2 linked regions of the Macaca mulatta genome follow. Each later gene encodes a partner of the first gene's protein in a complex. Links are inferred from orthologs where the notes say so. Each region holds a gene or a part of one and is shown in the gene's direction. Other genes may lie near its edges. The genes, in order: GCC2 and RAB6A.

Evidence for each region.
Region 2: the proteins of GCC2 (region 1) and RAB6A are in contact, whole or in part, in a crystal structure (PDB 3BBP), measured with the Homo sapiens proteins. The link is inferred for Macaca mulatta from reciprocal best matches to the Homo sapiens genes GCC2 and RAB6A. Residues at the interface, in NP_852118.2 of Homo sapiens: Thr1585, Ile1588, Leu1589, Glu1591, Gln1592, Leu1595, Leu1596, Glu1599, Arg1602; in NP_942599.1 of Homo sapiens: Lys15, Ile46, Gly47, Ile48, Trp67, Arg74, Phe75, Ser77, Leu78, Ser81, Tyr82, Asp85.

What each region holds. Positions count from the first base shown.
Region 1 is NC_133418.1:19,016,561-19,020,468, forward strand, and holds the start of GCC2 (GRIP and coiled-coil domain-containing protein 2), read left to right. Parts: upstream 1-897; 5' UTR 898-966; coding exon 967-981; intron 982-1,315; coding exon 1,316-1,372; exon of another isoform or gene 1,373-1,416; intron 1,417-2,783; coding exon 2,784-2,868; intron 2,869-3,908. UniProt on the Homo sapiens protein: Golgin which probably tethers transport vesicles to the trans-Golgi network (TGN) and regulates vesicular transport between the endosomes and the Golgi.
Region 2 is NC_133419.1:74,148,462-74,152,372, reverse strand, and holds the start of RAB6A (ras-related protein Rab-6A), read left to right. Parts: upstream 1-1,362; 5' UTR 1,363-1,764; coding exon 1,765-1,834; exon of another isoform or gene 1,835-2,103; intron 2,104-3,911. UniProt on the Homo sapiens protein: The small GTPases Rab are key regulators of intracellular membrane trafficking, from the formation of transport vesicles to their fusion with membranes.

The sequences.
Region 1 (3,908 bases):
CCACAATAACACTTCTTTTACCTAGTAATAAGCAGCTACCATTTACTGGTTACATACTGTATGCTGCCTCTTCATCCTTTTGACCATTTAAACTACAGGAAACTGAGTTATCTTCAGGTCACCTTAGTTATGGGAGTGTATGGAAAACATGAATGGAAAGGTAAAAGTGTAGCAAACCACTTCAGCAGTTAACAGAAAGGCTCTCAGAGCACTGGACCGCCAATCAGGACACTGCAGCAGCTCTGGGATTCGACCACAGATTCTTCGGCGTGCCCTCGTGCCCCCTATTCTACAGAGTCTCCTCCCACAGCTGCCCAGCTCCCTGGCAGACTATCTTGCCTCTACCACATCACCAGCAGTACTGGGCGGCTACAGGGCAGAGCTGTCCCGGGACCTCCTCACAGCCTCCAGAGTCAAGGAACGCCTCCTCAGGGAAGTCCTCCACCTCATCACTGACCTGTGAGTCACGGAGCTCCCGGGCACCATGCTGGCCACAAATGCCTAAGGAGCCACCCCCGGAAGCAACTGTGGGTCCCGCAGGCACTCGCAGGCTAGTAGACACCTTCGGGGCCTGAGGGACTTGTACTTCAATCCAATGCTCTCCTCACTCTCACAAGATTTTACAGACGTGGAAACCGAGGCCCCAAGGGGTAATCGGCCCGCGTTCCCATGCCAATAACCGGCGGTGGCGGGAACCACACCTACCCTGTGACCCGCAGGCCCAGGGGTCGAGCCCCAGGTAGAACGCCTACACCAACTCCGCCCTCGGCGCGGCGCGGGAAACCTTAACCCGGACACAGAGGCGTAAGCGGAAGTGCTGCCGAGCCGTAGCTATGGAGACGCGGGGGGCGGGCCGCCCGGAGAGCGCGACCTTTGACCTGCAGTCGAGCCTACGTCAGAGGCTGGCGCAAACAGAAGTGCAGCGGTGGCGGCGGCTGGTTGCGGGCCAGCGGCAGGCAGGCGGCGATGGAGGTAACTCAGGTCGGGCCCACTGCCTCCCATCAAGCCTTCCGCGCAGCTACTTGGGATGTGGGGGTGGGCCCGGTGGGAGGGCGCGGAGGGTACCCCGAAGCCCGCTCTGCAGTCGCCTGCCACATCTTCCCTAAACTCCATCCCTGGCGGTTACCTGTCCCCATAGAGCCCGTTTGTATACGATTTGCCACAGCGACCGCCTCCGTCCGCCCTCATTCTCTGTCTCACAAGGCTTTCCACCACTTGATTCCATAGAAGGTTTTTCCCTGTAAAGGTTCCACGCGTTCCGTGTGGGATTAGGAAAAGAGTTCTTCTGACACCTGCGTTTGATTTTGTTTTGCAGGATCCTGTTCAAGATGGGGTGGCTTCACCAGCTACCCCTGGGACCGGGAAATCTAAGGTGAAGAGGATACTTGAATAGCGGGCTCCCTGAAGACTGGAAGGGTGATGAATTGGAAAACTTTGGCATGAAGAAGGGGGGCGCTATATATATATGTATATATACACACACACATATAATTTATTTTTTTAATATCCTTGCTCCAAGGGATCTCAATTTTAGTTGACGCAGTCACCAATCCATTTCCTGTTTCTTTCTCCCCCGCCCACCCCGATATAAAAAGACTTTTTGTTTACTTCCTGCTCCTGGTTAGCACTGCTGGGAGATCCTGCGATTTTTCGAACATGAAACAAAGCAGTCTAATTTAAGAAGGTTTATATAGTGATGTAGTGGAAGGAGCAGTGACATAGGGTAGGGATCAAGGGATTCTGATCTGTGGGCTCCAGTTTTTACATTGTCAAAGCGTTGAATTAGTCCAGTTTTATGGCCTTGTACGGTGTTTAACATTTAATCATGCTAAACGATAGTAGTTTATTGCTAAGGTTTATTGCTTGCATGCTAAATTTCAGGCACTTGCCTAACCACTCAGTTACTTCATTTAAGCTTCATGATAACCGTGAGATAGGTACTGTTGTTGAGAAACCTGAGACCACAGGCTTAAGTAATTTTCTCAAGTGGTAAAGCTTAAACCTGAGACTACAGGCTTAAGTAATTTTTTCAAGTGGTAAAGCTTAATTTTTTAATTAAAGCCTGAATGTCACCTGGTTCATCTTGCTGCTGTAATTATGCTTACATTTTCTTGTGACACTTTCAGCCTTAAATAGAATGAAATACTTTTACAGCTCCAAGCAATTTTAAGTAGCATTAGCTCCAACCCACTAATTTTACAATTAAATCAAAAGCTAGCAATGTCAACCTGTAACATTAGCTATAAGAGGATATGCCCTGGTATTTGCGTTTAATAGTAGTCGCATAACTAATTTTTAGTACTTGCATAGCAATTACAGAGTTGACGTTGCATTTGCTTATTTTAAAAGATGTGGCCGGGCGCGGTGGCTCACGCCTGTAATCCCAACACTTTGGGAGGCCGAGGCGGGTGGATCACCTGAGGTCAGGAGTTTGAGACCAGCCTGGCCAACATGGTGAAACCCCGTTTCTACTCAGACTACAAAAATTAGCCGGGCGTGGTAGCGGGCGCCTGTGATCCCAGCTATTTGGGAGGCTGAGGCAGGAGAATTGCTTGAACCTGGGAGGCAGAGGTTGCAGTGAGCCAAAATGGTGTCATTGCACTCCGGCCTGGGCAATAGAGCGAGACTCTGTCTCAAAAAAAAAAAAAGTGGAACAAAGTATGCTGTTGGCATAAAGATTTATTCTGTAGAATGTTTTTGTTTTCTGGCAGACATTGTTTGTTTTTTGTGGTATACTAGAAACATGAGTTGTAACAAGTTGGTAACATAACCACATCTTTCAGCTGGAAACATTGCCCAAAGAAGACCTCATCAAGTTTGCCAAGAAACAGATGATGCTAATACAGAAAGCTAAGTCAAGGTGTACAGGTATTGGGTTGAAAATACTCATCTTGATCACAGTCTCTTTAATCGTGGTTTAAAATGGTAGTTTTTAAAATAATGCATTGGCTTGTTTTTGTTTTCCAGTGATTCCAAGTACACCTTAGTGTAGTAGAATCTGTTATTTAACATTCTAAAAATTTACCTCTGATTTCTAAATTATTCCCACGTCTTTAAACCACAGTGACTTTTGAGTTGTTAAAGTCAGGGAGGAGGATTTTTAAAGTTTGTGCAAGTTAAGTGTTTTTCCTTCATGTAGACTTTAGATTATTCTGAGTAAAGCGTTTTTTCAAGAGAAGTCAGTTGAAATGTTAGAGACAGAAGATAAGCCCAAAGAGATGGAACGCTTCCTCAATTAAAATAATAAAAGATTTCCATTTATAGACATTAAAGTATATTTATCTGTTGAAGTTGATTGATTCCCTATTCAGTTTTCTTTTTATTCCAGAAGGAAAAAGATCTTAGATCTTTTTCTTAGTATATGTACATGAGCTCTTGAATTTCCAGTGACTTACAAATATTAACTGCTTAGCCTAAAAGCCGAGACTTGTTTTCTATTAGAAAAGATAAAATTATGTCTTGGGAGTTTGGATCACTTTGCAATAAAGAGAATAATTTATTTGGAAAGAAGTTCTAGGCCTGAGATCTAGGCATTCGCTAGTGAAACACTTCGATTAACGTTTCGTTTCTTCTTCTTTTTTTTTTTTTTTTTGAGACAGTGTTGCTCTTGTTGGCTAGGCTGGAGTGCAGGGGCACAATCTCAGCTCACTGCAACCTCCCCTTCCTGGGTTCAAGCGATTCTCCTGCCTCAGCCTGCCAAGTCCTCCCGAGTAACTGGGACTGCAGGCGGCCACCACCATGCCTGGCTAATTTTTGTATTTTTAGTAAAGACAAGATTTCACCATGTTGGCCAGGCCGTTCTCAATAATGTTTATTCTTAATATGCGATTGTGGCTTTTAAGGTTATATGTACTTACAGGTGAAATAATATGATGTCTGGAGTATGCTTGAAAATTATCAGATGGATA
Region 2 (3,911 bases), on another chromosome or scaffold:
ACAGAGTCTTGCTCTTGTTGCCCAGGCTGGAGTGCAGCGGTGTGACTTTGGCTCACTGCAACCTCCGCCTCCCGGGTTCAAGGATTCTCCTGCCTGAGCCTTCCGAGTAGCTGGGATTACAGGCACCCACCATCACACTACGTTAATTTTTTGTATTTTTAGTAGAGATGGGGTTTCATCATGTTGGCCAAGGCTGGTCTGGAACTCTTGACGTCAGGTGATCCACCCAACTCAGCCTTCAAAGTGCTGCGATTACAGGCATGAGCCATCACGCCCGGCTTTTTTTTTTTTTTTTTTTTTTTGAGATGGATTCTCGCTCTGTCGCCAGGCTGGAGTGCCATGGTGCGATCTCGACTCACTGCAACCTCTGCCTCCCGGGTTCAAGGTATTCTCCTGCTTCAGCCTCCCGAGTAGCTGGGGCTACAGGTGCGTGCCACCACGCCCAACTAATTTTTCTATTTTTGGTAGAGACAGGGTTTCACCATGTTGGCCAGGATGTTCTTGATCTCTTGACCTCGTGATCCACTCGCCTCCGCCTCCCAAAGTGCTGGGATTACAGACGTGGGCCACCGCGCCCGGCCTGCTTTACGGATTTTGCAAGTCATTTTCTCTCTCTAGGCTTCAGTTTCCTCATCTGCAAAATTGGGAGGCCCTGATTCTGACAGTTATAAAATTCCTGGGAGCAATGGAAGATAATGTTATTTAGTAAGATGCTGTGAGAGGAATTATGATGAGAGGGTGAAGAAGGTGGGGTGGGTGCACGGGTGAAGAACGGATCTGAGGACTGTGAGGCACGGCTGAGGGCTCAGGAAAGAGGCACCTCTTACAAATTTTAAGGCTATAGGACCACCCACACTTTTTGGGGGATCATATTCCACCTTTATCCCGGCCCCGCCTCCGCCCCACCCTTCTCCCCTCCCCTTCCTTCCCCTCCTGTCCCATAAGACTGAGAAGCGCCACACTTCGTATGGCCGCCACACTGGTCCGCTTTCCACTGCTCTAGGGTTGCGCGCGCTCTCACGCTGCCACCTCACTCGCGTGTCTGCTCGCCCTCGGCCCCTTCCGATTGGCTCATTACGTAAGTGACGTAAGGGCTCCAGCCTCCTCCTAACTTATCCCTGGCTTGCCCCGCCTCCTCCTGGCTTCTTCTGGCGCAAGTGGAAACCTAACCTGCCCCGTCGCCGCCGTGCGGGAGGAGCCAGTAGAGCTGTCCAAACCAGGAAGGCGATAGCTATGGCGGTGGCGCGCACGCACGCACGCACGCCAGCGGCCGGCGGGGCCGCAGGCTCGCGCCCGGGCTCGCCCCGCGCCGCGCCAGAGGCTCGCGCACTCAGCAGGTTGGGCTGCGGCGGCGGCGGCAGCTGTGGAAGCTGAGGCGCTGCGCGTGAGAGGTCCCAGATACGTCTGCGGTTCCGGCTCCGCCACCCTCTGCCTCTCTCCCCCAGGTGTCGGAGTTGAGTGCGGAAGGAGGGAACTGCCCTAGCCTAGGGAAACCAGAGCACACCCCTGGCTCCTGCCGACACCGCCCTCTCCTTCCCAGCCGCGGGCCTCGCTCGGTGCTAGGCTACTCTGCCGGGAGGCGGCGGCGGCTGCCAGTCTGTGGAGAGTCCTGCTGCCCTCCAACCGGGCTCCTCCACCGGGCCTTGCAGGGGCCGAGAGAGCTCGGCGCCCGCCCTTCCGCTCGCCTTTTTCGTCAGCCGTCTGGAGCAGCATCGGTCCGGGAGGTCTCTGGGCTGAGGCGGCGGCAGCTCCTCTAGTTCCACCATGTCCGCGGGCGGAGACTTCGGGAATCCGCTGAGGAAATTCAAGCTGGTGTTCCTGGGGGAGCAAAGCGGTGAGTACGTGGCTCCCCCACTCCTGGCAGCTGGCCCCAGCGTCCCCGCACCGCCCCCGGTGCGGCCCTTCCGTCCGCGGAGGCTCCCAGCCCGCCTAGCGTCCGCGCTCGTTGCCACTGCAGCCCTTCCCGATGTGCCCCCCGGTGCCACTGGCTCTCCGCCTGGATCTGTCGGCCGAGATTTTACCCTGTTCCCCGGGTTCTTCAATCCTTGACTCGCCGTCTCCGTTCCCCGCAGTCCGGCCGTCTCCGGTCGATCTGCCCCCCCTCCTCAGCCCTCACCCCGCCCAGCCTCTTGTCCATCCCTTTCTTCCTCCGGTCTCCGTCGTTTCCCCTACCCCAGTACCCTTTCTTGAGCCCCACCCTTATTCCTTGCTCTTTTCCCAGTTCCTCAGCTCTGTGAGGCCCACTCAGGGAAGCCCTACTCCTGAGAACGGGCCCTCTTCAACCTTGGCCAAGGAGGGTGGGATCTGGGCGTTGTTTTCCCCAGAGGCTTGGCCCTGAGAAGTGCTGATGTCGTCGAAGGTGGGAAGGGGTGGTCGTAGAAAAAATTATTAAATGGTTTTCACCTGGGTGGGAAATTAGTCGGGCCATAGAGGAAACATCTGAATTGGAGACGACTTGAGCATGGGGTGGTTGGGGGTGAAAGGGGTAGCGTCGGCAGTGGAGATTTTTGCCCTTTAGGTTAGATGGGGCTGTGGCTTGTCGGAAAACCTCATTTTGTTCTGTTGACTTCCATCACTGACAATTCTTTTGGCAGTGTTGATGATTTTTCAATCTCTGCCAGATGCTATGTCATGATCATTTTACTTGGAATATTTCTCATCTCACCTACCCTTTTTCTCTTTTCAACATGAAGCAGCGTTTGAGTCTCATGGTGGTACAAACGGGAATTACTGGGGAAATGTTAATTATTCATTTCTTGAGTATTTTCCAATGATATATTGAGGATTCATGTGAGAGAAGGCTTGGAATAACAAACATCTTTGTTTTGTCAAATTTCCTTTGGAAAATGGAGTAGAGTAGAAATAAACTCATCTAGTTATCTAAATTAGATTTAAATACCATTTGGGCTAAATAATTCTTTTATGCTTCATATTCCGTACTATCTGATGAGTGAAATTGTTATGTCATTTACCTGGTCAGGTTCTGCTGTCACTGTACTTCCGTATTAGATACAAGATCCTAATTTTGTGATGGTCGTTTCTACGATTACTTCTTGTAGTAATTTCAGTTTTATGCTGTATTATACAAACTTGACACTCGACAATTCAGGGACGATTACCCTCCTTTGTTTTTCTCACACTTTGCATGACCGTCTTTAAAATTCAGACATTGAGAGACTAGTTCTGAGTCATCAAACATTGAGTACCTACTAGGTGTTTTAGGTGAGGTTATAGAAAACATTAATTGTTTGTTTTGACTAGAAGGCATATAAGTGATATAAACTCATAGCTTTTATTACTACTTTGAACTATTTATACTGATTTGTATGCCATTACAGAGGTTAATACCCTTGCAAAATTGCCTCCCGTTAGAACTGGGAAATCATTTTTCTCCTTTCATATGTAGATTATCTTCCCCTCCTCCCTTTTGAGGGTAAAAATACGATCTCCTTGCTTTTCGCTTACATATTTTCCTGAGGTAAGTATAAACTTGTGTCTTTAGGTGAGTAACTTGGTAGAACCTATGGAGTTGATCCTGGTCCAGCTTTTATATGTCAATTTCAGGATAGTTCCCAAACATAAAATAAAGCTTATTGATCATTATTGGTAAAAAGGATCCAAAGTGCTTATTGTGCATTCTAAGGATATTATTGCCTTTCTTACGTTGTGATGCACAGCTATTTAGTTTGCATGAAAAAACTCATTCATCTCCCTGTCTAAAAATATTTTAGCATGAAAGGAGTGCTTAACTTCCTAAGTATCTTCAGGTTTCCTTTGAATTTCTTGAGTATTTGTATATGTTCTAATTCATAATGGAGAGTTTTATGGCTTCTAATTTCGTACCTTGTTTAAGCCTCTACTACCCTCCTCCCTCCATTACTGAAGCCTGGTTAGATTTTTTTTTTTTTTTA